6 linked regions of the Danio rerio genome follow. The protein of the gene in region 3 purifies or fractionates together with the protein of the main gene of each other region. This does not show direct contact. Links are inferred from orthologs where the notes say so. Each region holds a gene or a part of one and is shown on either strand. Other genes may lie near its edges.

The links.
Region 1: the proteins of stx7l (region 3) and snap23.1 purify together in Homo sapiens (affinity purification with mass spectrometry; 3 studies listed by BioGRID and IntAct, counting the BioPlex papers as one, with this or other methods). This does not show direct contact. The link is inferred for Danio rerio from reciprocal best matches to the Homo sapiens genes STX7 and SNAP23.
Region 2: the proteins of stx7l (region 3) and vamp3 purify together in Homo sapiens (affinity purification with mass spectrometry; 3 studies listed by BioGRID and IntAct, counting the BioPlex papers as one, with this or other methods). This does not show direct contact. The link is inferred for Danio rerio from reciprocal best matches to the Homo sapiens genes STX7 and VAMP3.
Region 4: the proteins of stx7l (region 3) and bet1 purify together in Homo sapiens (affinity purification with mass spectrometry; 3 studies listed by BioGRID and IntAct, with this or other methods). This does not show direct contact. The link is inferred for Danio rerio from reciprocal best matches to the Homo sapiens genes STX7 and BET1.
Region 5: the proteins of stx7l (region 3) and vamp4 purify together in Homo sapiens (affinity purification with mass spectrometry; 3 studies listed by BioGRID and IntAct, counting the BioPlex papers as one, with this or other methods). This does not show direct contact. The link is inferred for Danio rerio from reciprocal best matches to the Homo sapiens genes STX7 and VAMP4.
Region 6: the proteins of stx7l (region 3) and vamp8 purify together in Homo sapiens (affinity purification with mass spectrometry; 7 studies listed by BioGRID and IntAct, counting the BioPlex papers as one, with this or other methods). This does not show direct contact. The link is inferred for Danio rerio from reciprocal best matches to the Homo sapiens genes STX7 and VAMP8.

The regions. Positions count from the first base shown.
Region 1 is NC_133192.1:35,130,458-35,135,029, forward strand, and holds part of snap23.1 (synaptosome associated protein 23.1), read left to right. Parts: intron 1-1,686; coding exon 1,687-1,831; intron 1,832-4,572. UniProt on the Homo sapiens protein: Essential component of the high affinity receptor for the general membrane fusion machinery and an important regulator of transport vesicle docking and fusion.
Region 2 is NC_133186.1:42,698,551-42,703,699, reverse strand, and holds part of vamp3 (vesicle-associated membrane protein 3), read right to left. Parts: intron 3,984-5,149; coding exon 3,825-3,983; intron 117-3,824; coding exon 65-116; intron 1-64. UniProt on the Homo sapiens protein: SNARE involved in vesicular transport from the late endosomes to the trans-Golgi network.
Region 3 is NC_133195.1:49,558,541-49,564,197, reverse strand, and holds the start of stx7l (syntaxin-7), read right to left. Parts: upstream 3,505-5,657; 5' UTR 3,456-3,504; intron 648-3,455; 5' UTR 639-647; coding exon 560-638; intron 189-559; coding exon 119-188; intron 1-118. UniProt on the Homo sapiens protein: May be involved in protein trafficking from the plasma membrane to the early endosome (EE) as well as in homotypic fusion of endocytic organelles. Mediates the endocytic trafficking from early endosomes to late endosomes and lysosomes.
Region 4 is NC_133194.1:43,528,452-43,533,849, reverse strand, and holds the end of bet1 (BET1 homolog), read left to right. Parts: intron 1-982; coding exon 983-1,092; intron 1,093-1,197; coding exon 1,198-1,254; intron 1,255-3,988; coding exon 3,989-4,144; 3' UTR 4,145-4,439; downstream 4,440-5,398. UniProt on the Homo sapiens protein: Required for vesicular transport from the ER to the Golgi complex. Functions as a SNARE involved in the docking process of ER-derived vesicles with the cis-Golgi membrane.
Region 5 is NC_133195.1:16,242,957-16,248,105, reverse strand, and holds part of vamp4 (vesicle-associated membrane protein 4), read right to left. Parts: intron 3,852-5,149; coding exon 3,805-3,851; intron 3,684-3,804; coding exon 3,633-3,683; intron 832-3,632; coding exon 731-831; intron 1-730. UniProt on the Homo sapiens protein: Involved in the pathway that functions to remove an inhibitor (probably synaptotagmin-4) of calcium-triggered exocytosis during the maturation of secretory granules.
Region 6 is NC_133180.1:28,881,384-28,885,758, reverse strand, and holds part of vamp8 (vesicle-associated membrane protein 8), read right to left. Parts: intron 1,930-4,375; coding exon 1,765-1,929; intron 1-1,764. UniProt on the Homo sapiens protein: SNAREs, soluble N-ethylmaleimide-sensitive factor-attachment protein receptors, are essential proteins for fusion of cellular membranes.

The sequences.
Region 1 (4,572 bases), on a different chromosome or scaffold from region 3:
TAGTTAAGCCTTTAACTGTCACTTTAACCTTAAATTGTTAAATTATAAAATAGCATTAAGAATGTAATCCGGAATCTACTCCAGTTTTGCAGATTAAGGATTTCATGCCAAAGATGATCAGTAGAAGGACAAAATTACAGTAAAAAAAAAAAAAAAAAAAACCAGAATAAGTATAAATCTTGCATCACTTTATTTCCTAGTGTATAATGTTACCTAAAAATAAACACTTGTTGTACTTGTTGGTCAGGTGGTGACTTCCTGTCTAAGCAGGCAGTTCAAGACCTATAATAAACTACAATATGTCTCTGTTTGGTGGCATTTAACTACTATTAGGACTCATTGTTTTTACCCTGCCACATCAAAATCTGCAGCTGGACTCCACATGTACAGTTTGTTAGTGCTTATTTTTGGACTGTTACAGCGGATTTTTAATTCCTCATTAATTATTAAGATGAGTCACCTTAAAGGGTTAGTTCACCCAAAAATATAAATTCTGTTATTTATTACACATCCTCATCTAATAGAAAATCAGCAGTTCAAGTGGGAATGGGAAGATCATTCCACCAACATGAAACGTTGATTAAAAATGTTTTGGAAAGTGACTTGGGTCTTTTTTGTGATGGTGCTCATTTTCTAAAAACCATTATCAAACATTCCATGTTCAACTTCAGTAGTTCAACTGTAATCATAGTATAAATTTGCAGTTGGTGTGAATCATAAGCTCTCGCGGGTCAGATAAATTGATATGGCAGAGTAGGCTGGAATTTGATATTTCATTAATTTGCATATAAAGCACAAATAAACACAACAATAGTTGACCACTGTGCTGTAGAACGAGGCAAGAAGGATATCAAATAGATAAAAATATACTTATAAATACAAAACCCTGCAGACAAAAAAAATTATAAAAGTAGAGTTAAAAGTAAGCCCGCACAGAATCTGTGTGCACAGTAATCCGCAGATTTTAAGCCCATCATCTTTTTCATCTAAGCCCACCAGTCTTTTTATTTACTTGTAATTCTGTGTAAACTTATATTAATTCAGTTTTTTTTTATTAATTTCTGTTATATGATTGACTAATATGAAAATGTTCATATGATTTATTTACTATGCAGTTTGTAAAGTCATATTTTCTGTCTTTTAGTAGATATATATTATAATAGACACTTGCTTTGTTTACCAAATAAGTGGATCTAATTGGATTCACATTGTAAAGTTTCATATATTAAGTTTTTAGTTACGATATTCCCAAAATTTTTCCTTACAAATCCTCAGATTCTTTTTTTACAAAACTCTCGACAGAAATAGCAAAAAATGTCTGCAGATTTTGTCTGGACCTAGTTAAAAGCAAGCATGCAAAGATGCAACTGTAACTTGGATTTAAAATGATTGAAGGAAGATGCAGATATCACAGATAGGGGAGGATTATTCCACATAGATGTTATACATGTGATATAGACATTTGTTTTTACAGTTGTTGATTTTTGACACACAAAAGTAGTTTGGTTCTTTTTCTGTACTTTGCACATATTGGGACTATTGCTAATTATATGGAGGATGAGAAAGCTCTCAGATTTCATCTAAAATATCTTAATTTGTGCTCCTAAGATGACCAATGTTTCCATTGTTTTGCATTAATAAAGATTTACTGTATGCTTTATTGCCATTTTTTTTCTTTCCCCGAAGAATAACAAATGATGCTCGAGAAGATGAGATGGAGGAGAATCTGGACCAGGTGGGCAGCATCATTGGCAATCTCAAAAATCTGGCTTTGGACATGGGCAATGAGATCGACAAACAAAACAAGACCATTGATCGTATCACTGATAAGGTAAAGATACACACACTTACACTGCTGAGTAGATTACAGTACATTATTAGTTACATATTGTATAATGAAAATAGTAGTTTGTAAAGGCCCGGTTGGATCACACGATTTTGGCATGATTTTTTTGACCTTGGGTGTTGTAGAGATTGGTAAACAACAAATAGACGTCAGGACAAAAGATTCCATCGTTTCTTCACCTGTAATGTGGCATAGTTCACGACAACCGATCCCATGCCTGCGACACCTCGCGACACCGTCGCAGAAAGTCTAGCATGTTTATTCTTTTGTTGTTTCTTACGATGATGTCCACCACGTGTGTGGCACGGCCCAATAAGAGCACATAATATACAAGTTATTTTTGTAGGTGCTCCTGTTAATGAGCTGGTCAGGTAATCAAAAAACAGGCTGCAAATTTACAGATGGGTCAGTCACGGGTGGATATGACCAGTCATTGGCTATGCAAACTTTAACTACTTTCTCTAAAATATGAAAGTGTTTTAAGCAATTTTATCTGACAGACTGGCACAAATATGCCCACTTCTCCATTCAGAGTTCTCTCTTCCAGGGGCACCAGCAGGATTTTATTCAAAGATACGCACATATATAGCACCACCCGGCCCCATCATCCCTTATTCTCATTTCAATCTCAAAAAACACTGATGCTTGCTGTCAAGGCTACATTTATTCATTGTCGCAAGTGAGACCGAGAAAATGAAAGCACATCACTGTATTTCAATAATTTAAATTATTAATTACAATAATTTATCATTAATAAAATAGTATAATATAAAATTAATAATTAGGCTAATTTTAATATATTTTTGTTGCTCAGTTATCTACAAAATAAACAAGAATAGCACCTGAGGTGAAGTGCTTCAAAACCGGTCCGCTATAACCTTTGCTTCAGAGCCAAAACTCAAACTGGTTTGTTAAATAAAATATAATCAAGCCTAAATAAAATTAAAGTGAAATATTCACAGTTTCAGAGAAGCCTATATTAAACTGTTTGTCACTGTAAGTGACGAAACCATCCGTTGCGCCGCTCAATTACAGTTTAATTTGTTTAATCATGTATGTTTTTTTTTTTTTTTTTTTTTTACATCTCCCACCATGCAAGTACATACACACTTTAAAACACACAATCACACCTTTAATTATTCTCATTCTTTCTTGCTTTGTCAATATATCGTAGTGTATACTGTTTAATAATAAATTCACATTATTTAATAAATAAATAAGCGGCATTAATTTGTGCCCTCTCATGGTTGAAACGCACAATGTACGGCTGCAGGCGCCACTGCTCTCAACTTTCCAACTGAGTTTGTTCTAATAAAAGCCAGTCCTGCTTATTCAAATGTGTCATTCATAATAACAGTTTAATATAGGCTTCTCTGAAACTGTGAATATTTAACTTTAATTTTATTTAAGCTAGATTATATTTTTATTTACCAAACCAACACAATCTCACGGCAACTCATGTTTTAGCGCTGAAGCATGGGCCTATAGTGAACTTGTTTTGAAGCACTTCACTTTAAAGGTTATTCGTTTTTTTTTTTTTTATCTAGTAGTTAACTGACCAACAAAAAATACATTACAATTAAGATACATTTTATAGCTAACAAAAATCCGTTTCAAAAAGATATTTTTTCCAAGAAACATTTATGAATTATATTTTAGTTTGTGCCCGTCCAACTGTGCGGTGATGATTTGATGCGCTCCGTAGAAAATAAGGATTTAATTAATTCTTCACTGCTTCACAGCTGCTGATGTTCTTTCATTTCATGTTCAGGCAAGGGAGTGTTTAATAGAAACATTGGCAGAAAAATATACAATTTCAAAGAAAATATATTCATATTAAAAAAGAAACATAAAAGTTTGATCCTATCAATGTCATAACAAATGCCTTTAAATAGTTATTAGGCCAAGTTGTCAGCCAGCATTAGTGTTTATTGAGTTTGAAGTTAATTATATTGAGATAAGAAATATTGTTACAGCAACACTCCAATACACCACTTATCTCATTTTTGATTGCGACTTGTAAAAAGCATTTACGTTCTTGTCCTTTTTTATGAGAAATTTTCCAAAGCTTTAAAGACACCTGACTCTTCATTTAATAAACACTTTATTTGCGACACACACTCTGCCAATTTTATGTTTTTAAGTCATTTAATTCAAGTCATTTTAAGTCATAAGTTTACATATAACTTGCAGAAAAAAATAGCATTTTGCATTTAGTACTGGCCTAAACAAGCTTTTGCATCAACAAATTCATAATCATTACTTTTGCCGGTGCAAGTTTTATGGATGCGCTTGAACACGGAATAGGCTATAAGCATGTATAATTTTGCATCATATCGAAGGAATCGTAAGTTTGGTCCTATCCTAACGAATGCTCTTAAATAATGTAGTTAGTTGTCTGCAAGCATCAGTGTTTATTAAAATTAAAATAAGATAAAAAATAATAAACAAATTGAAATCGAGATTAAAAAAATATATTGTTATAGCAACATTTGTGACTGCTTTGAAATGACACCCACGACAAGTCAAGATTTTATCAAGAAAAAAAATTAAAAATCGCATGATCTGACATAGTTACTTTCGTAACCGACAATAAAAATCGTATGATCTGACCGGGGCTTAAAGCAATCCATGTTTTGTTTACTTTTGGTCTTGAGACTTACTCTAATTAGATGTTCTTTTGTTAATTATTGTTTATTATTATTAATATTAGTAGCATGTATGCT
Region 2 (5,149 bases), on a different chromosome or scaffold from region 3:
TCCAACACAATCACAGAGCTGAAGTCTGAAATTTCACACTGCTGCCACCTCAAGTGGAACTTACTGACAATGATGATAATGATGATCACAACCACAGCTATCAAAATGGCCCACATCTGCAAGACAACGAACAACAAATTGACAATTTAGTGCGTAAGAATATTTCTTTTTAAATACATGTCTTTATATTTGTAAAAAGCAACTGCAGTAAAGGCAGTTCAACTGGACTAAAAGTATAAGTTCAGGGCTCGAAATTAACTTTCTTACTTGGTAGCACCGGTGCTCCCAATCTGAAATATTTAGGAGCACCACAAAAAATTTAGGAGCATTCACCAAAAATGAATGATATATTTGACAAGTTGTATATTAAGGGATTGATTGTATTTGAAAACAACATCAATTGGGACAAACAAAACCCAGAAACAACTATCTAACTAATGCTGTGAAGACTTAATATTTGTGCAATAATTCCAAAATGAATGTTGAATAGTTATAAAATATTAATTATGATAATAATACTAATAATGAATTATATTTCTCATCATCATGCTGCCTTGAATGTAGAGGCCTGCATTCCTGCGGCTGTCCCGCGGGCGCCGCGGGACCCGACCAGATTTCTACGGCGCGGGTATAAATTTCCGAATAAATCACGGCAGCGGTCGGTAGCGGGTTTAATTTGGGACGGGAGCGGGCTGTCAAGCAATATCGCTCCCGACTCCCGAGTGAGCACGCGTATGTATGTGTGTAAATGAAATAGCGCGATGCTGTGTTTAGCTTGTTTGTTTGTGTGTGTGTATGTATGCGCACGCGCGAATGACAGATATGTGTGTGTGTGTGTGTGTGTGTGTGTGTGTGTGTGTGTGTGTGTGTGTGTGTGTGTGTGTGTGTGTGTGTGTGTGTGTATGTATGTGTGTGTGTGTGTGTGTGTATGTGTGTGTGTGTGTGTGTGTGTGTGTGTGTGTGTGTGTGTGTGTGCGAGAGCTTTGCCTTATTGCCTGTGTTTGTGCTTGGTGCTTATGAGTGTGTGTTAGAGGGCGCGCGCAAATGAGAGAAAAAGCTTTGTCTGTGTGTGTGTGCTTGGTGCCGTGCGTGTGTGTGTTTATACAGACAGCTTGTTATAGACTGTCTGGACTGTATAACTGGGTGATTATTCGGTTTTGTTCTCCCCCCGCTCTTTAGCGGGATCGGGCGCGGCGGATAGAAAACGGGGCGGGTCGGGCAGCGGGACATCAAGTGCTTAATATAAGCGGGAGCGGTCGGGTTCCGGCTAAAACCTGGCGGGTGCGGGCGGGAGCGGGATTCAAAATTTAGTCCCGCTTTAATGTAAGTTATCTGCTATATAGTCCTACAGTTACTTTATGAAAAATAAATTAATGGTTTGCATCAAACACAAATGAAGCATTGTAGTAAGAAATATTTATTTTGTACTATTGTTTTATATGCATGTCAATTAAATAAATAATATTTCTGCAACAAAACAAACGAAATAATATAATAAATCATTTAGTTCAATGCTGAAAGCTGAAAAGCAGTCATCAGTAATTAAATAGAAAAATAATATACACCTCAAGAAAGAACGGACAAAAGAAAGGAAGAAAAGTCTCACTTTTAAAAGTTCGTGTTTCGGTTCGTGTCGTTTTAATGCTCAGCGTCGTTACGCGCTGAATTACATATGTGTTTGTGGAAAAGCATGCGAGTCAGCCGGCCCAATACGAGGGGGGCAGGGCAGGATTCTCCCGATGACCACAGGGGCAACACTGTTCTTTGTTATAACCCGCATCAGTTTAAACTCAGTAAAGGCAAGCTTCTTTGGCGATGGTGTTTTAGCGGACATTTGCGCTGTTGCAGCCTGATCTCACGAGGAAACTTTTGAAAATGTTATGAATTGCCGTGAGATTGTGTTGGCTGAACATGCAGTGCATGCAACGCATCGAGATTCAGTGTACTTTTCACTTTTCAGCCGTTTGCATTCCCCAAGGTTACAAAAGCTCTCTCCCTGTCGACTGACAGCGGAAAATCTTGAGTGATTGACAGCTAATATGAACCAATATATCGGCAGGGAAGACCGATTTTACCACGTTTTGAGAAAAAAAAAAAAAACAGGTCGCACTACAACTATTATATGCAGTCGCACGAATGCTCCCAATATATATTATGAGGTCGCATAGCTTAAATTTCGGGCGCATATGCGACCAAAATGGTCCCAATTTCGAGCCCTGAAGTGAGACATTGTGGTCCTGTTTCCACGTGGTATTTGCTTGCTCTTCTACAGCTAGTCGTTGTACTATAACAATGTAGCCACTATTGATGGCAGAAATGAAGCTTTTCAAAGCGTATGCTGTGTTCACACTAGATGGTGCACGCACAGATAAATCGTGCTATTCGCGCGTAAACATTTTAAGTTTACCCGCTTTATTCGCGCATCAGATTCACTTCCCAACAGACACGGATTCGCACCATGGGCGGGGCTTCTGTCTGCACGGTGACTCTAGCTTCATTGCTAAATGGCTAACATTGATTTTATTGAGAGAATAGCTGCGTTTATGTGCCGTGTCTGAGTGCACTAGATCCATTCAAAGGTGCACCCAGCTCTGAGCTCAAACTCCTCCAGAAACTATACATGGACGATGGAGCTTTCAGCAGTGCTTCTGACTGAGCCAAGCCCAGTGTGATAAGCTGTCCAGTGTCGGCAGGAGGATTTTCCCCTGGGACACCAACAACAGGCGCTACGTCATAGTGACGCCCCTACAAGACATAGCTCATGATTGGTTAACGAGGCTCGAATGTCTGATGAAGTTCAGATTTTTCAACTCGAGCGATTTGTGTGATACGTGCAAAACGATCAACTTGCGCCGCTTCATTCACACGTATCGCGTTGCAGGATGTCTATTAGCATCTTTGCATTTACTTAACATGTAAAGCACTCGTGCTTGACACTTCTTCCTCGTCTTGGGTGAACCCAGCATTAGAAGCAATTGAAGAATTGCTTCGCAAAATGTTTCAACGTTTTGAAGTGTCTGAAACTCTACGTTGTAGGGACGTCTGGTGGTCAGAAACGTGTTAATGCAATCAAAGTATTACAATTGACCATTTTTATGTAGGCGACGCGGTGGCGCAGTGGGTAAAGCTGTCGCTTCACAGCAAGAAGGTCGCTGGTTCGAGCCTCGGCTGAGTCAGTTGACATTTCTGTGTGGTGTTTGCATGTTCTCCCTGTGTTCGTGTTTCCTCCGGTGTGAACCTACTGCAGTTAACCTAATAACCTAATCATGCCTTTAATGAAATTAATTAAAAGCAGGGAGCGAATTACAGGGGTTTGACTCCTCTAATTAACGATTGACCCCCCCTGAAGGACATCAAATCAAGATGTATGGGGGTCAGCCCTTTAATAGTAAGAAATAGCTTTCTCTGGTCTATATCTTACATATTAATAATTAAAAATTTATTAAATAACTATATATTTGACCCCCCATTACGGTTTATACCATTGTGAATGCATAATCGCACCAATCAATTCTAAAAAATAATATTCAACGGTCTGAAACGGGCAGTTCAAGAGCTCTGATGGACAACTTAAGTATTCACAAAACACGTTTCACGTAAAATAGGTGTTCATATCTGCATGTAGCCTAAAAAACAAAAAATTAGACGCATCATTTGTATAGTTTGACCAACAGCAACCTCTAAAAGTCACTTAATATCCCTCAAAACACTGAAAACATATACATTTTATTAATAAATTAGATGTAACTTCAAAAAAACATTCCTAAATTTGATTTACTGAAGCAAGTATTACTAAACTACTAGTGTTTTACTGCTAGTTTTACCTTGACGTTCTTCCACCAGAATTTCCTCTTGAGTTTGGCGGCACTGGTCTCAAACTGAGACGCTCCGGCCTGCAGGGCATCAGCACGATCATCCAGCTCTGACAGCTTCTGGTCTCGTTCCAGGACTTTATCAACATTCACTCTCATGATATCCACCACCTGGAGAAGTATACAAAAAAAAAAAAAAAAACACACCCGCAAGGCTGTTAGAGAACTCTGAAAAAGTGATGCTAAAGCCTGAAAAAGTAATCAAGGTCAAGGAATGGTGCCATGTGTGTAAACAAACAGCTGTCAGAGCAGCGATGGAGCTTTAGTAATCAGTTTAATGATGTGAATCTTTTGGCAGGATGGCTGGAGGCTTCTGTAAAGCAGCAGGACTTTAGTAGTCAGCACTTCATACTAACAGCAATGGAGTAGAGGGTTTCTTCAAGTACAAATGAAATCTGAAATCAAAACTAACCGTATTGATTTAGTTAGCTCACATTGCTAGTTTTGTGCTGAACAATTCATCTGTGCATGTCATTAAGAAAAAAATGCTTGTAATCTTTAATTGAAATGTGAAAATGCTAAGGGGGTATAATTGGGATTGGGCCTAAATCCAAACCCTTTTCCGGATCTTTCTAAATGAAACGCCTACTTTACTACATCCAATCAGCTCGCAGTAAAAAAAAAACAAGCCACACCCACTGTTTACTCATTCAATATTTCGTTTCTCTAGGACAGGGGTGTCCAAACTCAGTCCTGGAGAGCCAGTGTTCTGCATAGTGTAGCTCCAACATCCTTCAACACACCTAATTGGAGCTTTCGTACAAGTGTCAGAAATAACTCCATCTTCTTTTGTGTCAAATTAATGAAATGGTATCATCTGTGTGTTCATTTTGTACTGTTTTTCAACTCTTGTGATTGTTTTGTTTAGCTCTTTTATTTGAGTTATTAGAAAAACTATTTACCAAATTTGGTTTTATTTATAACATTTAAAATGGGAGTAAAGTACAAAAACAAAAATGGAAAGCAAAATATACACTTACCAATTTTCTCGTAGGACAAGCAAGATTGGCCATTTTAAATCTCATACATGTCAAAATGATGGAGAAAACAACATTTTGCTCAGGATATTTATACTAAAACTCTTTAGAAGTTTTACTTTTTACTAAAGAAAAGCTTTAGTACACCTAGAAAGAGCTGGATTAGCTGGTTCAGGTGTGCTCAATTGTGGTTGGAACTAAATATGCAGGACAGAGTGTGGGCAGCCCTGCCTGCTTCACCAGAGACGTAGAATAGGCATGGATGGAGGGGACTTGTCCTCGCCGATTTTTGTAATTTAC
Region 3 (5,657 bases):
AGACCGTTTTAAATTCATTAATGATTAGCTGATAAAAAATAGGCTAAATAGATTCATCTCTATTTATTTTATGTGCTAAAGGACTGAGATCCAAACTAGATGTTTGTATTTGGCTCACAATGTCTGTCGCAGGTCACTTGTGTCTTGTGCCGTTCCAAGATGTCTCATCAACTGCTGGATTTCATTAGCTGGGAAACAGAAGCAAGATCTAAATCAGCTTTAAACACCTCCCATGTTATCAGGTTACAGAAAGGACTGTTTTGTCGTAAACAAATGTGTTCCGCTTGTACTTGACTTTTTATCTGTTGTGGTTTTGTGAATGTAGCACATTAAATTGCATAGCAGATAAATGGAGAACAACTGAACAAAGAAATTGAAGATGTGAAAACAGAAACATCACCACCATCCAGGCGTGGCTAAAAATACAAGTCAAGTCTAGACATAATCATTAAAAAAGTACGAGTTTACTAACAGTTATTGTTTGGTAAAAAAAACTGATGGTACATTTTTGTAAGCTATACAATTTTTATAGCACATAAATAAGAGTGAATGTACTCACTTAGAAGCGTTATCCTCTGGATGTTTGAACTAATAGTCTGTGCCAGCCCATTGGCATCGACTTCTCTTGATCCATACATGATGGAAGCCTTTAATGAAAGAGACAGAAAACACATTTGTAGAAATCACATTTATTTGCAGGCCTACAATCGCACAATTATCTCTTATACTGCGCTACATAATAACAAGCTTATACAATTTATTCATAAACATGTTTTCTTATATACATTGCTCCTAAAACATACTATTTGAACGTGTTTTTACATATGGCTTATCAATTTCTTCCTTCAATAACATTCAACTATCATTATATTTGATCCTACATGCTACAGAATAGTTTGTATATTAACATGTATGAACTGAAATGCTGGATTTGCGACGTTTTTAATAAATGTCAAGTAGTGACAGACTTTCACGAGTTGTAAACATGTTTTACACAAACTATACATACTTATTAATGTTTAATATTCCCACATTCATTTAGGGACAACTTGTGACATGTTTCCTATATTGTTTACTACTTTAAATATTCGGTCTGAATCATATGCCTCCAAAACAACATTAGCACTATTTAATTGACCATGAACAATGCTGTACTTTAATTGTCATTTGCTGGGAATATGATTTGACTATTTAGTATTAGTAAAGAATAGTTTTCTGAAATTATATTAAGGAGAAAGTCTGAATGTGTGAATATAAACCAACTTTAAGTTACCCTTAAAACGTACTGTACTATTTGGAGACCAAAACAATTGCTCACTATTTTGTATGCGTTTCTTAATTATATTAATGGGGACATTCAAAAATGCTTAACATGAAGAAAGCGGGGCTTAATGTAACTAAACATCAACCAGAAAACCCCAAATTTCTGTCAAACTGTACTTGTAATTAACCCTAATTACTGTAAAAAGAATGAGTCCCAATTAAGCAGATAAATTGAAAAACATCATGTTAGGCGTTTACTCCCCCATTGGAGTCTATTATAAGGATAAAGCTTAACGTGGCTTAATGTACCTTAACAGCAAGTGGGAGAAACCAAATTTCTATAAAAGTTACAAACACTTTCTGATGTCAAAAGAATGAGCTCTTATTTTAGTGGGTAAAAATTATCACGGTATGCAATTCTCCCCACTGAGTCCATTATAAAAGGAAAACGCTTAACATGGCTTAATGTATACCTCAACAAGTGGGGTACACCAAAAATCTATCGAATACTTGTGATTAACACTAACTACTATCAAAAGATCAAGCCCTTAGTCTGTAGATAAAGCGGACAATGTTGTTAAGCATTTTATCCCCATTTCAGTCCATTATAACAGCTTAATGTGGTTTAACTTAACATCTAGAGACAATCAAATTTCTATAGATATATATTCATGAAAAACACTTACTGCTGTAAAAGAACAAGCTTTTATTTTAGTGTATCAAGTGAGCAATATCACTTTCAGCATTCTCCTCACAGAAGCGCATTATAAGGAATCAGCTTAACGTGGCTTAACATATCTTAACCCAGACCAGGGAAACCCAAATTTCTTTACTTGTGATTAAGACAAACTATTTTTAAAAGAATGGGCCTTAATTCCACAGATAAAGTTAACAATATCACGTTAAGTGTTTTCTTCCCCGTTGAAGTCCTTAATAAGGAAAGCTTGACTTAAAAACAGAGGGAAACCAAATTATAAAAAAGCTGTTCAAAAAATCTAACTTAATTTATTATAGATTAACCCTTTGCTGTCAAAAGAATGCACTTGTGCATGTCATTGACATCCCCACAACAACATAGGGAAAAACGCTGTTCACTTAAGCTGTGGAAATGGGGCAAATTTTTAATTTTTTTGCTATATAGTTAGTGCTAACCACAAGTAAAATTTGATAGAAATTTGGTTCCCCCCACTTGTTGTTGAGGTACATTAAGCCACATTAAGCTTTTACTTATAATAGACTTCAATAGTGGAGAAAACGCTTAGCGTGATATTTTTCACTTATGGAATTGGGACTCTGTCTTAACAGTAGTTCGGGTTAATTACAAGTAAAGTTTGATCGAAATGTGGGCTTCTCTGGTTGATGTTTAGGTATATTAAGCTATTGAGGCAAAGTTGGTTTTATATTCGCACATTCTTTCAGTGACAACTTGTGATACACTCCCTATATTGTTTACCATGCTACTTTATATATGAAGTCTGAAATCACATGTAAGTATGACCTAAACATTAGCATTATTTAATTGACTGAGAGCAGCGTGTACTTTGAAAGTCATTAGATGCTAATATGATGTCCCTAATCAGAATGTGCAGTTCTTAGCCAAAATTATATTATTAAGGATAAAGTCTATAGTATAAAATCAACTTAACCTCAATTATTAAGCTTATTTCATGCGTTTTAGAATCTCCCTTAATGATATTACTGTTGTCATTTTGAATTAACGAGAAAACTTGCCCCATATAGTTGCTCACCTTGCTTTGAAATATGCCTTATTAGCTCAATAATTACTCGAAAATAGCTGGCGTAATGTTGTTTATTGGTTAGCAGGCTAGTACTAAACAGATGACTAGTAAAACCGATCTGCGCTGCACCTGCAAAACGAAAGAATGCGGAAATCACGGCTCACAAACTCACAAACACGCATTTTCATTTATAAAACTAGACAGCTATTGTTTTAACTTTGCTGACACACAACAAACATTAACATTCGGGAATCTTACAGTGTAGTTTCATGTCAAGTGAACACAAATCGCGCTGTCAACAAATATGCTTCAGTGAATGAACTTTGCGCTTGCTACTTTACTGACTTCTCTTTTAAACTACCCTCAACAACTATTTACGTAAAGTCTGCACACATGTACAGTTTATAAATACGCATCGTTTACTTTAATATGTACTTTGGTTGTTCGGTTTACCTGGATTTCCTGAGTGAAACTCCGAGCCCTCAGCTGATTTCTTTGACGCGCGGGTCACGTGACTTCTGTTCTATCTTCCGTGTGCGTTCAGAAACATGTAGTAGATTAGTAATGTACTTGACGCATATACTAAACTATTGAGTTTATGTACTATATGTTTAGATCGACAAATACTAGGCAGATGTCTATTATTATTAACTTACCCCAATTAAAAAAGTAAAAAAAAAAAAAAACTAGCCTACATAACAAAAATAAAGTAGACTTTAACTTGGTTTCCACATGGGTAATAAGTAGCCTAACCTTACTAAAAAGAAGTATACTTCACGTTCCTTTTTATTAAGTATAGTTAGTTAATATTGATATATCTTAAGCATACTTCACATAAACATTTATGTAGGCTACTAGTAGTATAGCTATGTGGTTCCCAAATTGGGGTTTGTGAGACAATGAGGGTGGGTTGCTTGGTGATTTCTCTTTAATATATGTTATTAAACTATTAGAATAGCCATATTTTATCCATAACTTACAGAAGATAAACATGGTATTTAATAGTTAAATAAAATAACAGCATGCAAATAAAAAGCCATCAGCCTTTCAATTCTTTTCCCATTGGATTCCAACCCCTGGGGTTATTACACTAGATTAATGGCACAATGTTAAACTCTGACACCTTTACGGCACGCGTGTACATAAAAAATAAAGGCCACGACTACACATAGAGGACGATCCCCAAAATTAAACCAAGAATAGTCTTGTGCTGCAAACAGTGTGCTCACCGTTGTCATTAAGTGAGATTAATAGTAAATTAAATATTGACAAAAAAAATTATTTATATATATATAAATATATATATATTATATATGTCGCTGCGAGTTACTGAAAGTTAGCGTCATAATCTAACGTGCTAACCACTGGACCACAACAGTTGTATATGAAGGACTGACTCATCTGACTAATATCGTCATTAACCTGCAGGCTGGTCATATATAAAAAGAGCAGAGCTGCGGTAAAATGATGAATAAGAAGACTGTAGTCAAGTAAGTAAATAAATTAATTTAAAAAGTGTGACTGCTGAGAGCAACAGATTCTAGAGCTAGGGACACCGGCCCTCGCGGCCAAAAAACGCACCGGCCCACCGGGAATTCTCCCGGTCCTCCCGATTAGCCAATCCGGGCCTGATACACACACACACACACACACACACACACACACACACACACACACACACACACACACACACACACACACACACACACACACACACACACACACACACACACATACATACATACATACATATATATACATACACACACACACACTCACACACACACACTTACACACACACACACACACACACACACACACACACACACATATATATATATATATATATATATATATATATATATATATATATATATATATATATATATTTAATTATTTATTTTTTGTGTGCACTGTTTGTATGTTGTACTGTTTGGATTGCGAGTCACTGGAATTGTTATTTTGGGGCTCACTAGCTGAATAGTTTGGGAACGCTTGTTATGAGCTACTTGTAATACTTGAATATATCATAGAACTAAATTGGCTAGCTTTTAGTGTAGTATAAGTGTGACAGTACACTTTAAGTGTACAACTAGTCATAATGCTTGTAGTAAATGGTTAGTTTGCCCCAAGCTCAGAATTTGGGCTTCGAATTAACTACAACTACACACACACACACACACACACACACACACACACACAAAAAATAATGCAATCGCTCTTAGCGTACTCTTTGTTAAATTTTAGTTTTAGTGTTGTAGGCTATGTGCAAGTTTACTTAAAGTATACAAAAAACACTCAATTCATATATGTTGAGAATTACTATAATTTAACTACAGTTAAAATATACCTTGCACAAAATTAGTTCTTTTAAAAGTAAAATTTGTTAGCAAAATTAACTAACCATCAACAAATTTGTAATGTACTGTAATGTAATGTGTGTATTTATAAAGCGTATTTATCTTGTATGGCCATACACCCAAAGTGCTTCACAATCATGAGGGGGGTCTCTCCACACCACCACCAGTGTGCAGCATCCACTTGGATGATGCGACAGCAGCCACAAGACAATGGGGCCAGTGCGCTCGCCACACACCAGCTGTTGGTGGAGTGGAGAGACAGTGATAGAGCCAATTCGGTGGATGGGGATGATTG
Region 4 (5,398 bases), on a different chromosome or scaffold from region 3:
GTTTTTACTTTTCGATTTTAAATAGTTTCTGATGAACATTTCAATCTTATTTGTTTAGGTTTTTCAAATTCACTTCCAACTTTAGAGAATATTTGATCAATCAAATCAGTGCATACTTGTCAATTACTCTTAAAGGGATAGTCACCCCAAACAATTTTTATATTTCACAAAAGAAGAAATTTTAAACAGAGCTAAAAACCTGTAACCATTGACTTCCATAGTATTTGTTTTTGCTACTATGGAGGTGAATGGTTACAGGTAGCATTGGCACAATACTGGAATTCGATACCAATCGGTACTGAAATTTTACAAACGTCCATTTCCTGCTTACATTTGAGCGCTGTTGAGCCCATTCTTAAACACTGTTGATTTGCTGTTGTGTTCACATGCTCAACAGAAATGACTGTGATTGGCCGTGAAGGTCATTAGTTCACCAAACTCAACACTGTTTACTGAGTGTAAACACAGATACAGGGACACAAGCATTTTAAAGTCACGTCAATCAGCTGGTTTGTCTATAACTTCACATACAAGCGATCTGCTGATGAATTGCGGCTTTTAAATGCTCCAGTGTCTGTATCTGTGTTTACACTCAGTGAACAGCAGTGAGATTGGTGAACTAATGACCTTCACTGCCAATCACAGTCATTTTTGTTGAGCATGTGAACACAATGGCAAATCAGCTGTGTTTAAGAACGTAATCAACAGTGTTTAAATCTTAGCAAGAGATGGATGCTTTTTTAAGCTTCAGTATCGATTGGTATTGAATTCCAGTATCGTGACAACACTAGCTACTAGTTTGAAACATTTAAAGGGCGAGTAAACATTGACAGATTTCATTTTGTCGTGAACCAGTTCTTTAAGGCAACATTTCAGTTTACTGTAATAAGATTTATTATTTTTAGTACTAAATACTTGATTTTAAATGTTTTTTTTTTTAAATTCCGTTGGATTTGACCTGACCTGAATGTTTCTTGTACAGGAGAAGGTGGCCCTCAAGGCAATTACGTTGCGAGCGGATACAGTGTGTATGAGGAGGAGAATGAACATCTACAGGAGGGACTGAGAGATAAAGTACACGCACTTAAACACGTGAGTGGCCTTCATATCTGATGCTCTATTTTGATTAACTACTCTGCATAACTATTCTTATTTTTGGAAAATATGTGTTTAATCTTTTAATTATGCCTTTTGCAGTTGTCTATTGACATTGGAAATGAAGTCAAGATCCACAATAAGATGTTGGGAGAAATGGTATGTGTCAGGAAGTTTTTCAATGTCTAGTAGGGGTTTCATGGTACACTAAAATGACTTTTGTTTTGAAGTTTGGTGTTTTCTGTTTAATGGGTGGAAAAATTCATAACATTGATGTTTTTACTATACAAATTGTGGCTGTGTCTTTAAATAAATTCAGTTAAAAGTACAGTTGATATTAAGGGTAAAGAAACTATAAATGTACAACTGCTATTGAGGGGAACAACTATAAACTATATATGGAGCCTTATTATTTAAGCATTGCTATATTTAAGTGTACAGTTTCCAACAGGGACCTTTATTAAATTCAGTTGCAATTAGTTTTTAGATATTGAAATCCATGCTAAAATAATTCTAAATGCAAACATGAGACTGTTTTTACAATAATTTAAATCTAATTATGAAATTGTTTCTACTCCAATTAGTAATCCAATTCCTTTGTAACGGATTCATTTAAACGTACATTATATATTAAATATGTATTGAAAAGTATAAGAATAAAGCATTTATTGTTTGAATTTTAAAGTAACAAAACAAAGCTTTTATTTGTGCATCTGAAATAGGGCTGCACAATCTTGGGAAAAATTGACAGTATTTAGTTTTTCTGCGATATATTGCGATATTGATATAATTTCACAAGATTTGTACCACAAATGTATGAGATTTTCCCATTGAGTCCTTGGAAGTGTCAGGTGCAAATAGAAAGGTGTTTCTACATGTACAGCACACACAGAAATGCACAGTGTGTTTCAAGAGGGGGACTGTGGCGTCTTAAGCCCCTGATGTATTGTCAAAAGCCCCTGATCTTTTGTTGGAATATGTTGCACTTAAATAAAAATAGGTTGTATAAAATTTATTTTGTTATCAAAGTTTTTAAAATTAGCTCATACATCACTGTGCTCCAGTTAACGCAGCTATTAAGTCATGTAATTAAATTGTCAGCTATTCTGCAGTATCTGTTTCTACCGGCAGGTGGGAGTGGCACAGTTGTCACATGGTTTTAAAAAAATCCCATCATCATCATTCATTATTTTGAGGAGCTGATGAGGTAATAATACAATTCGCAAAACTGAATAGTTGTAACTACTGATTTTTTAAATAGCTTTTTTTAATTTGTTTTCACAGTAAAAAATGTGTGTAGTTTTGGTGAAATACAATAACTAATTGATCAAATGTGCATCATATCAATGTAAATACACGCGAATTAGTCAGAAAAACGTAAATTGTACTAGCTCTCTAGATATGATATAGATATCTAGGCATATTTATCTAGATATGATATAGCCAGGCACATCTGTTTCTGTAATGGTTAAATCACAGTGAGGTAATGCATCTTATTATTTTATAGCTTCTATTTAACATGCTTTATCAGTTAGCACCGAACTTAGTTAGCACTTTACAAATCTTGAATACCAATCAGAGACAAATGGGTGTTCAGCACTGCCTACATGTGCATTATTAATTTTAAAATCATCTATCCATTTTCCTACCCTAAAAAAAAACAACAACAAAAAAAGTTTGTTCTATTGCAAACAAAAGAAAACCGAAAAACGTCAGTTTTCTTAATTTTCCTTTTTTTGCTTGAAAACAAATATGAAATGGACGGAAGATTCCCTGATTGTGCATGAAGATGCTTTGTTGTGTGTTTTAGAATAAGTATTTTAAAATGCAATATTTAATGTGTCAGACACAAAATACAAGTTTTTAAATTAAATAATAATTGAATATTAATATGACCAGTTAATGGTTAATATTCTGTTAACAAGTGGCAGTTGTCAGTTGGCAAAATTAACTGAAATGAGCATCCCTAATTTCAATGTATTATGGCTAAACTTTGCAGATCTCATCTTCTGAGCGGTGGTGTTGGATTTAGTATAATCCCATCTCAACATTGCAGATCCAGGGATGTGACAATTTCACATGCAGACATTGAATGCTGAAATTGTGCAGCTCTAAATTAAAAAGTGTTCTGTTGTAAAAAAAAAAAAAACTAAAAGATTGACATTGGGATTTAAGAATAAATATTCATGCATTCACATTAAGGCATTCTAAAGTTCCAATTGTGCTGTGGTTAAAGCAACGCTGTAATCTTTTGAAACGTAAGCATGCTAAACAAATTTACAGTATATACAGTTGAAGTCTAAACTATTAGCTCTTCTGTGAAGTTTTTTTTTTCTTTTTCAAATATTTCTTAAAAGAGGTTTAACAGCAAGGAGTTTTTCACAGTATTTCCTATAATGTTTTTTCTTCTGTAGAAAGTCTTATTTGTTTTATTTTGGCTTGAATAAAAGCAGTTTTTAATTTTTGTTTTTAAAGTCATTTTAAGGTCAGTGTTATTGGCCCCTTAATCATTATTTTTTTCTCGATTGTCTACAGAACAAACCACTGTTATACAACGACTTGCCTAATTTAACTTGTCTAATTAACCTACTGCCTTTAAATGTCACTTTAAGCTGAATACTCTGGAAAAATATCTAGTAAAATATTATGTACTGTCATCATAGCAAAGATAAAATAAATCAGTTATTAGAGATGAGTTATTAAAACTAATGTGTTTAGAAATGTGCTGGAAAATATTCTCTCTGTTGCACAGAAATTGGGGGGGGGGGTATACAGGGGATAATAATTCTGACTTCATACGTGTACTTGCATGTTAAACCCCTTTAATTAAATTTCTTTTTTAAGATAGTAGTATTGTGAATAGCTTTAATATCTGACTCGTTTTCTCCTTAAGGACTCAGACTTTGACTCGACTGGAGGTCTGCTGGGAGCCACCATGGGCCGATTGAAGCTCCTCTCCAGGGGAAGCCAGACCAAGGTGTACTGCTACATGCTGCTGTTTGCTCTGTTTGTGTTCCTCGTCCTGTATTGGGTCATCAAACTCAGGTGACCACACAACTCCTGAGATCCAGGACTTTATTACATGCCATGCTCATTTGGGGTAGAAGAGCAAAATCCTCACACTTATGATGATGGTAATGATGATAATGAGGAGGAATTAAGGGGAGCAAATGTGCTTTTCTGGCCAGTGAATTAGAAATTGAACCATTGAGTTACAATGTGCAATATGAGAGAAAAAAAAAAAACATCTGTCCCCAAAATTACAGTCTCTTCAATGGAGAAATGCTACTTATACTGGAAAAACATGCATATTTAATTCAGTAATAATTAAACATTTGTTTGTGTTATTCTTTTAAGAGAACTTCATTGCTATGAATGGGTGATGATTTATAAATTCTAATGGATTTATATATATATATATATATATATATATATATATATATATATATATATATATATATATATATATATATATATATATATATATATATACTATTGAAGTCAATGGTTACAGGTTTCCAGTTCAAGGCAGTTTCCAGAAGAAAATCAATCATGTGTGTTTGAATAAAATGTCATTTGTCTTCTATTCTGTAATCTATTAAAGGTCCCACAGAATCAAAACAGTGACAGAATTCAAGTTTAGAAGATATAAAACTGATATGAACATGTCAAGCTTATAGATTGTCACTTCACCCAAACGAATCAACTGTTTTATTCACATGAACCTCATACTGCAGTTTCTCATCAAATCATAACCAATTTACTGCTCTCTAGTATCTGACATGCCCCGGCCCGCCCCTATTTTGTGCTTGAGCTGACAGAGCGGTGATTAAACAAAACGCTATTGGCTGTTTTTAGGGGAGGAGTTACCCTGCCCCACCCTCTATTGGTGTTTCGGTTTAAATTTACGTCAAACATCAGATAAAACATCCACATTATAAAGCACTTCATGGGACCTTTAATGTCATCACTTCTGAATCTGCAAATAAATTAGAGCAATGCAAATTATTCATTAAAGCATCAATGTTTCAGTTTCAGCAGAGTTAACAAAGCAATATTTAGTGGAATAAATAAATTGGGCAAAAATACATATATAAAAATACATATATAATAAAATACATGTATAAAATAAAACAAATATTAAAGTTTTACTCAAATGCATACTTGGTGAATCCAGTTCCTCCAGAGAAACTGAGAATTTTCAAGCGGTTCATGATTCAGGTTATGATAAATGCCCAGAACTGAAACCTTATTCATTTTTATTTTTCCTCTTTACAACATTGTTTGCAAGAGTTGCCACCAA
Region 5 (5,149 bases), about 33 Mb from region 3:
TATTTTTCACATCTTGGCCTGAAATGAGAAAAATACCACACCACAGTGTGGACCACAAGACATTTTACCCACTATCCTGGCCATGTGTCCCCAGGCGGTTCCCCAAACGAAATAACAGAAATGGGACATAACTCACAAGAGGTTCAGGTACGGTGAAATACAAAACTAACAGAAGGTCTGATTCTGACATCACACTGGGCTTCAGAACAGTTTCCCACAGTCCTCTGGATCAAGTTTGGTCAAGTTTAATGAGCTGTCGAATTTGACCGATTGGAAATAATAGTTTGTTTACACATGGCTTTCCCATCTATTCATTTGCAACTACAGGCACAGAAATTAATAACATAGATCTGCAAATCTGTCCTTGATTCATTATAGCTAAATTGAACTTAGTCCATTATGCCATTTAATGGACCCTCTAATTTTTGAGGCTTCAGTCATTGTTAGGGTACTCTTTAAATGTGGAAGCATTAACAACTGATATCAGAATATATATTTTAATTGTTCGATATGGACAGTAATTATCGAGATTACATTTTTGCCATATCGCCCAGCCCTAATTGAACTTAAATGAAATTGTTCCCATGTTCACAATACTACAGATTCCCAGTCTGAAGAAGAAACTACAAAACTTCTGTGATGGTCCAAGAATCATGTCTTGATTCTCTTGGAATTAAAGAAATTAGCAAGTGGCAAAGGATTCACAATGATTCGTTCACATCCATCTTACCAGATTTATCCTGCAGCTCATCTAGACGTTCTCCTCGTTCGATCACTTTGGAGATGTTTTCCTGCATGACGTCAATGACCTCATCGACCTGAGACTGCACCCTGAAGACCAACAAGACAGAGAGGACAACATGAGGGGAATGGTATGGTACTTCCTTTCGATTCAGCAGGACATTTTAACAGCTTCTGTGCACATGTTTAGGCCTGTGATTCTATTATTTTGAAAAAGTGAACCTTTTCTTCTTCTATAAACCATTCGGGATTCATCATTATGACTATGATCTGTTGACCCTGCAATGTCGAGAGGTGGTGAGAATGTTTTGCTAGACATAGTCTAGACACATCCAAATAGTTTGAAATATTTGATCTCATAGGCATGACAAGCAAATACGCACTAAATAGCATGTGAGGTATTTAGCTGCTCTCATACACCTGGCACAAGAGCTTGGCATGGCTTTTGAAAAGGGAGATTAACCTGTAAATGAACTGAGAACAGGATGTTTTGCCCCTTGCTTCTGTGCCTGGATGCCCGCCTAGTACAAACCATCATCAGTGCCAATGGCACAGGACCTTGCACATCTCTTGCACCTGGAATTGTACCTTCCACGTGCAGCCCTGCTTCCACATCAATAACCAACAGACAAATGAAGTAAGTGCAAAAATCAGAGAAGTACACAAAGGCAAGAAAAAAAAAAAACATTAGGAAAATTTCACCTTCCAAGGTTTCCCTATTAAATTCCATTGTTTTATGGGTCACTCTACAGTGCAGCACATGGTTACGTAAAGCTGGTGTCGTGTGGCTGCACACACTGGGCGAAGCTCTGCTAGGTCTCCACTGGGAGAATTACTGCAACACATTAGTATGTACCAAACTTCATAACAAAGAAAAGCTCACAGTCTGGCTACTACATCCACGTCAGGACCAGAAGAACTTTTGAATATTGGGAGTAGCTGTTTACTTTTGCCTGCAAATATTATGTTGTTTCATAGAAACCCAGATGGTTACAGTGCTTCCCTTCTTTGCAGACGGGAGGTGTGTTTGTGGGTGGGTGTTTTCACAGATGTCATTATAAAGGGTTACATAAACTACAAGCACAACGACATGGGCAGTGCTGGTTGAATCAAGAACTGCGATTTCCATAACACCCTGCCAGTGTAAATCTCTAGATATCTGCCTCCACATTTTTAAGCTCAGCTCATCCTACTACTTGAACATTTCTAGTTTTTCAGTTCTGAAAATAACTACCAAACTTAAAACATCAAGTCTTGACTTGAACTCAACCCTCTCTAGGTTTCTGCCTGGACTCAAACTTGACCATCTTCTGGTCCCAACTTTGACTCTCTCTTTTAGTCTCAGCCTCAACACAGACTGCATCCTCAGACTACAATCTTAGGCCATGTCCACATGGATATTTTAAATATTTTTTTCTGATTTTGTTTACATTAAAAAACAAAACTGTTCACATAAAAACAATGCATTGTCAAAGGCATGCCAAATTACCAGGAATCAATGAAAGCCTGGGACACACCAGGCCAACATGTTTATGCTTGTGTTAGTCTGTTTTTTCTTATCACTAGGTCTACAAAATGATTAATACAACCCATATCCTGAGCAGATGGCTGTTGTGGTCATTGAGTCGGTTTCTGCAAAGACCCCAGTGACAAATCGGTCAACGCATTGATCCTGTCTGCTAGTTTGAACAACTGCCTAGTGACCAACCTGGACCTGCACCTTTTCCCCAACGGGCATCCTTTATTCTCAAGCCTGTGGCATCCATACTGCACCTCTGTACAAGACATTTAGCAAGATTAAGAATGGTCTAGCCTGATTTCTCTCAAGGCTTGTTCTTCACTTCCTTCAATTGGTGAAATTTTGGTTCCTTGCCACTTTCGCCTCTTGCTTGCTTGGCTGCACTAGTGAAGCCGCACATTGGTGGACTGCTCTTCAGTGGATCGGCCTTCAGCAATGATATTTGCATTGATGCAGGCTCACACCAGATGTGGATGTAGGGTCTAGCGCAAGTGATTTACATGTTAGGTCAATGCAAAGAAGTGATTAGACATCCAGCGACGCTACTTGCACGAATGAAGTGAATCAAGCAAATAATGTGAATGGAGCAAATGACACTTCAGTTGAAAAATCTGAACTTTGGTGGACATTGGTGCAGCGTTAACCAGGAACTTGCTCTACTAGGGCCATGACTACAACATAGTTTCTTTTGATGGTGTCCCAAGGGAAAAATCCTCCAGTGAAAACAGGACAACAGCTCATCAAACTGGAACTAGCTCAGTCGGAAATACCACTGAAGGCTTCTGTGATCCTGGCACAGCTTCTGGAGAAGCACAGCTACTCTCTTCATAAAATTCATGTTAGCCATTAGCAACAAAGCTGAAGTCACAAGGCAGACAGATGCCCTCCCATGACATCAATCTTTGTCTATTGTGAACTGATTTTAACGCAAGAATGAAGTAAACTAAAAATATTTGTGCATCTAATTACAAGTGTGGTGTAAACACCCTATATCAATGAACTAAACTGAATTTATACTAAAACGGAAGTGAAACAGTTTCAATTTACTAGAACTACACCAGCATTCGACTTTACTCTCTGGCCTACCTGCCTGAATTCCTGGAAAATTCCACAATTTAAAATATTATTGCTTTTACTTTCTTTTCTTCATCTATGTTAGGCTGCTTTGACACAATCTGCATTGTTAAATAAGCTATAGATATAGATATAGTGTCTGGACCAAAAGCCTATGCTAGAACAGACCAAATGGACGACAACTGACTGAAATGAGAAGTATTGTACTGTCAATCCACAAAGGGAACACAGAACTAGTGCTGCTCACATACAAACCATAAACAACAGAAAAAATTTAAAAGAAAAATTGTGTACGTACTGTCTGATTTTATCATTTTGACCTCCAAATCTTGGTCCTGTCGGTCCTCTCCTTTAAAAAAAAACATTAAAAAAAAGCTAGACAAATCAAAAGCTGGACGCAAACAATAATTAATGCAGAAGATCTGTTATTATTCCAATTCAAGAGTGATTATGCACAACTGCAGACTTACAGGAAAAAGTCCTCCTCTTCATCAGAGTCTTCCTCCAGTAGGTTCCTCTGCAAATTAAGAAGATGAGTATATCAGGCTGGGCACAACTGGGCATTGTGGGTTTAATCTAATGTTCTGTCTGAATTGAAACCAGGTGTTTGAAATAACAGTCTGAGACTCAATCAATTCTTATTGTTATGTTTACAGTGGTCTGCCAGCCGTCAAGGACAACTGAACACTCTGAAGGGCACAATGTGGTCACACCGTGTGATGCTGGCTTTCCTAGAAAATAATTTACCCAAAGATAAACCTGTTCAGGACATGGAGACAAGGAGACACTGCTGATGAACAAAGAGATATAAAGTCCATGCGGTCTGCATTCAATCACAGATCAGGAGGCATCTAGTTGACCTCTCATTAGTTTTGTTGTAACATCCATGACTGATCACATACCTCAGCTGATCATTTCAACATCTCCATGACTAATGTTATATAACTCTCTATAACTGCATCCAGACCTGTGATACTTCGCTAAAATTCCTTCTGGAAAATTCCATGCTACCTTACCAGGAAAAAACACCATGGAAAAGAAACAATAAATGATTTTTTTCTCTTTTGAAAGCTATAAATGTAATGGAAATGCATGGCTTAAAGCCTTCAAAATTCAGTCCCACCATATACTAAATGGCCATATCTACTAGATGCATTAAAACTATGTAAACTAAAGTGTTTAGATTGTATTGCACAGCACTTATAGTGCTATTAAGGTCAGGGACAGGTTTGTTGGCATGTTTAAGGGTGGGTTAAGATTTAAGGTTTTGGTCAACTGTGTATATGTGATTACAGAAATAAATTACAGTTGTAATTACAAGCAGATAATTAAAAATGTATATACAAGTACAATGTAAAACATGTATGTATGTGTATAATAAGTGGTTTGTACCAAATTATTAATTTAAAAGCGAGTACACGGTAGTTAAGGCCACTTAATATTAAGTGAAACCCAAAATTTAACAAGACTTGTGATGTTTAAATATGCTGATGTTCCACAATGAGTGATGAAGAAAATCTCAAATCACTATAGTCACTGCTGATTTATTTTTTGACCATTTGTAGGTTAAATGGTTTGGACATTTTTTTTATTATTACTTCATTAAAAAGTATTAATGTATATGTATAATTGCCTCTAGATATCTAAATATCTAAAATATCTAGTTCTACAGATTTAGTTCAGTGGAGGCAGATTTATTTTAAATGATTCCGACTGATTATAACTCGGAGTCAAAAACATAATTTGTCTATATCCATTAGAATTCTCCACCAAGTCAGCGCCAGTAGCCTAGTGGTACTGCGCGCTGACATATAG
Region 6 (4,375 bases), on a different chromosome or scaffold from region 3:
ATATGATCATGCAGAGTATGTACTTAATAAGTACTAATGACCAGCCGATATCTTAATGAGAGGGAGGTAATAAACCTGAGTTTAATAGTGAGAAAATTTATTTAAATGTCCTGTGAAGTGCTTTGAAATATGCATTTTCATTGACGTAAATAAAACTGTTGATCCATTTAGGCGAATTGACAAACTAAGTTTTACATGTTCATATTAGTTTCATATCTTCTAAAAGCTAATTTTGTCACGGTTTTGAAGCACACTAGATTATAAATATCATAAAAACTAACAATACTGATACTAATGTCTAAAAAACTTTTATTGTAATTTCATAGGACCTTAAAACTAAAGTTGCACAAATTCCGGTCAAAAATATTGGTATTTATAAGTCTTTGTCTAGGGCTGCTCTGATCAGGATTTTTGCAGCCGATACCGAGTAACAATTTCTTGTCATGAGGATCGGCCGATACCAAGAACCGATTCTGATGCTTCAAGCTTTATAATGCATACTAAGTATGACACTAAGTATTTTCACTAAGTATGACACTTATGTGGAGATCTCTCCTTACATAAGACAATAAAAGCAAGGAGGTTGCATATAATCCCTTTAACATGTCTCTTATAGCCATTTAGTGTGGACATGTCATGATCAGAAGCAGCTTTACAGAAAATAATAGATAAAACAGATAAAAAAAATGGTAAGAAAAATTGCTAACTATGCAATTTGTATTAACTGCAAATGATGGTAGAAGAATTCAACATGAAAAAGTTTCACCCTTACTCTGCCTAAACTCTTAAACAAACACTTGGGATCGGTTTATGAGATTGGCCGATTTCATGACTCGATTGGTACTCGATAATCTGGCCAATACTGATCTCTGGCCAATCGATCGGAACATCCCTGCTTTTGTCTTGTGTAAGAAACGCATTCTTGGGAAACCAAAAAAGTAGCCTTTATAATGTTCCTAAAAATTCATATGACCCTGATCTATTCCTGATTTATGACAATTTGATTTTAACTGAAACCAATAAGATCAAGGAGATCTGTTACTCTTTTGATTGCTAACGCCTGGAATTACTGAGTATTTGAGCAGCAAGAGTTTCAGAATCATTACACTGACAAAAGCGCACAGTCGAAATGTTTGTTTTTTCTTTTCTCCTGTGATTTTTAAAATAAATTATTGAGTGCAGACCTTCTTTGGTACCTGTCACCCTGAAGACTGGAGCAATGACTGCTGAAATTTTCAGTTTTAACATCAAAAGAATAAAAAAAAATACATTCTAAATTAATAAGTTACTAAAAACTGTTATTTTAAATTGTCAGTAGCTACGTTTCCAACCACCTATTTTTATGCGCATTTTAGATATGTGCATAAAAAACGGTTGTTGGAAACGCCAAGATGCGCATAAATTTTGAAAATGCGCATAAAAAAAAAACATATGCACATAACTGAGTAAGATAAACCTTTTATTCTATAAGAAAATATGTGCATAAATTATGATAAAAACACTTTTACTGAACTATTAGAAAATAAAATGACTCTAGCTCAATATCTCAAATAATAACTCTAGCTCACTATTTCAAAACCACTCAAAATGCAGACAGTAAAATGTTATGTAGCCTTGGAGAGCATAAGAGACTTCTTTCAAAAACAATTAACAAATCCAACTGACCTTAGACTCGACAGTGAGTGTACATACTAACAACATTGTGCCAGGCTTACGGCTGTAATACGTGATAAGGATCAAAGAGGTTTTGTATTAAAAACCCACCCCGGCCTCCAGGTCTTCAGATTTTCCCATTAGATCATCCAGTCTTTCTCCACGGGCCAGAATTCGATCAACATTCTGGGTCATAATATCCTTGACCCCGTCCACTTGAGACTGCAGAGCTTTGACTCGATCTGCATCCTGTGAAGATTCTCCTTCTCTATGCTCCTGCACACAAAACAAAAGCAAATTAAAATGGTGGGCATAAATATGAAAATAACCCACTGTTGTGTTATACAATACATCTAAAGAGACAGAATGTCATAATGAGTTTGAAAAGAGGTCAGGAACGTTTGCAAAATGTTGAGTAAAAGCCTGTCTAATGTATGTGCAATAAATAAATTGAATACATTGAAAATGAAAACTATTAATCTACTTATAAAACTGAAATGAATGCAAGCAGCATTTTAGGAATTTTAATTCCATAAGTCAAATTTTATTGTGTACATGTAATTTAATAAGCCGGTAACCACAATTTAATTCAAAAACAGAAGAAAAAACAAACAAACTGTTTAATCAAGGTATCACAGGTATTGCAAATTTCCTATTCAAATGTAACATTTATAACTGTTATGGCGCCAATAAATTAATCATTGTAAATATACACTGATAATTATTATTTATTATTACAGTTTTATCCTAAAGTCTTGATTGTTAAATGTAAAATTTATTTTGATTTAATATTATTATTATTATTATTCCTACATTTGTTATTTACATTTTTTATTTATAATTTTTTATATTATTATTATTATTATATTATTTACTACGACTATTTACTGTTTTTTTTAATATATATATATATATATATATATATATATATATATATATATATATATATATATATATATTTTTTTTTTTTTTTTTTTTTCAAAACAGTTCAGAACAAAAACAAACAAAAAACATTTTCAAAGGAACATGGAAACAAAAAAGACATAAAATACAAGTGTCAACGGTCACTGAATACAATCTTATTTACATTCGTATTTATGGTTGATAAAATGTTGCTATATAAAATTTTGTCAAGGGTTACTTGAGATCAACAGGCCCTTGATATATATAAATAAAAATCACCACAATAAAATAAAATAAAAATAATTTCTTTTCAACAATTTACCACAGTATGCAGAAACTTTATAGATTAATTGTCTCAAGGAAAGTGTCAGTACTTCCATATCATACACCTCATACCATTCACCTACAGATGGAGGATGTTCCTTGAGACATTTTTTTTGTAATGGCCTTTTTGCTAGATTTTAGAAGTGTATTAAGAAGATATCCCTCATTTTTTAGTATTTTTGAAGAGTAAACTCCCAGGTAGATAGTTTTAAAATTACAATCAATATTCAATCCTATTATAGCATTTATCTCTTTATTTAATTTTGCCAATAGGTGTGTATAATATTACAATACCAAAATATGTGGACATAATCAGCCAATATATTTTCACATTTTCTACAGCATTCACCTTTTTTATCTCTAGTTTGAAAGGGTTCTTTATAACACCTAAAATAAAATGTTTCATGTTTACATTTTTCCAAATAAATTCTCTCCATGAATCTGAATTACCTGTGATCATCTGTGTTTCAAAATAGTTAACCATTCCTTATTTGTTACAAGCATGTTCTTTTTAAAGTAAAGTTTATGAATGCTTTGGCAATACATTTCTTACAATTGTCATGCAAATAACACAATTATTGAATTTAATTGATTTGAATTGACAGAGAGAGAGAGAGAGAGAGAGAGAAAAAGAAAACTGCGTTATGCCAGAAGGCCAAATTATTTAGAAAAGAAAAAAGTACAGAAAACAGATTGTTAGTGCTAGAAGTAGATCAACCTCTATAGACAGTATTAGAACAAATAAAAGTGTATTTGAAGAAGAAAGTCAGAGCTAGGAAGTTTTATTTAAAAAGGATAAGATAGACATTTTTCCCAGAGATGGGTTGTGGCTGGAAGGGCATCCACTGTGTAAAAATGTGCTGGATAAGTTGGCGGTTCATTCCGCTGTGGCGACCCCAGATTAATAAAGGGACTAAGCTGACAAGAAAATTAATAAATGAAAGAAGATAGACATTAGATTAGAAAGTGTACGAAGGTCAACGGTATTACATAGAGTGCATTTTTAAGTACAAACATTAATGTTCAACATTGTCCATTATTGGTCAAGAGATATCGGAGCTTAGTACTACATTGGTTTACTAGAGAATTATATCAACTACTTTACAAATGTATTTATTTTTAATATACTGTATAATCTTAAATGTGCAGCACACAATTTGAATTTGGTTTAATAATTAATTTGATAATAATTTATTTGATCATTTGGTTTTTAGATGTTGAGCATGGAAAGATCCAATATATCCAACATGATGTGTACAGTATGTGTGCAACACTGCGATATATTTACACATGTAAAAGGCATGCAATAACATCAACATTCTTCTTCAAAAGTATTTACTGCTTTACTTAAAGTATTGTAAATTTGAAGTATTTTAGAGAAATGAAAAGTATTTTATGACATTGCATTAATAGGATTGGATGAATGCCAATTTTAACATTCTGAAATATAATTCAAATACAACAAACTGAATTTGTGTGACTCAATTGCATTTGA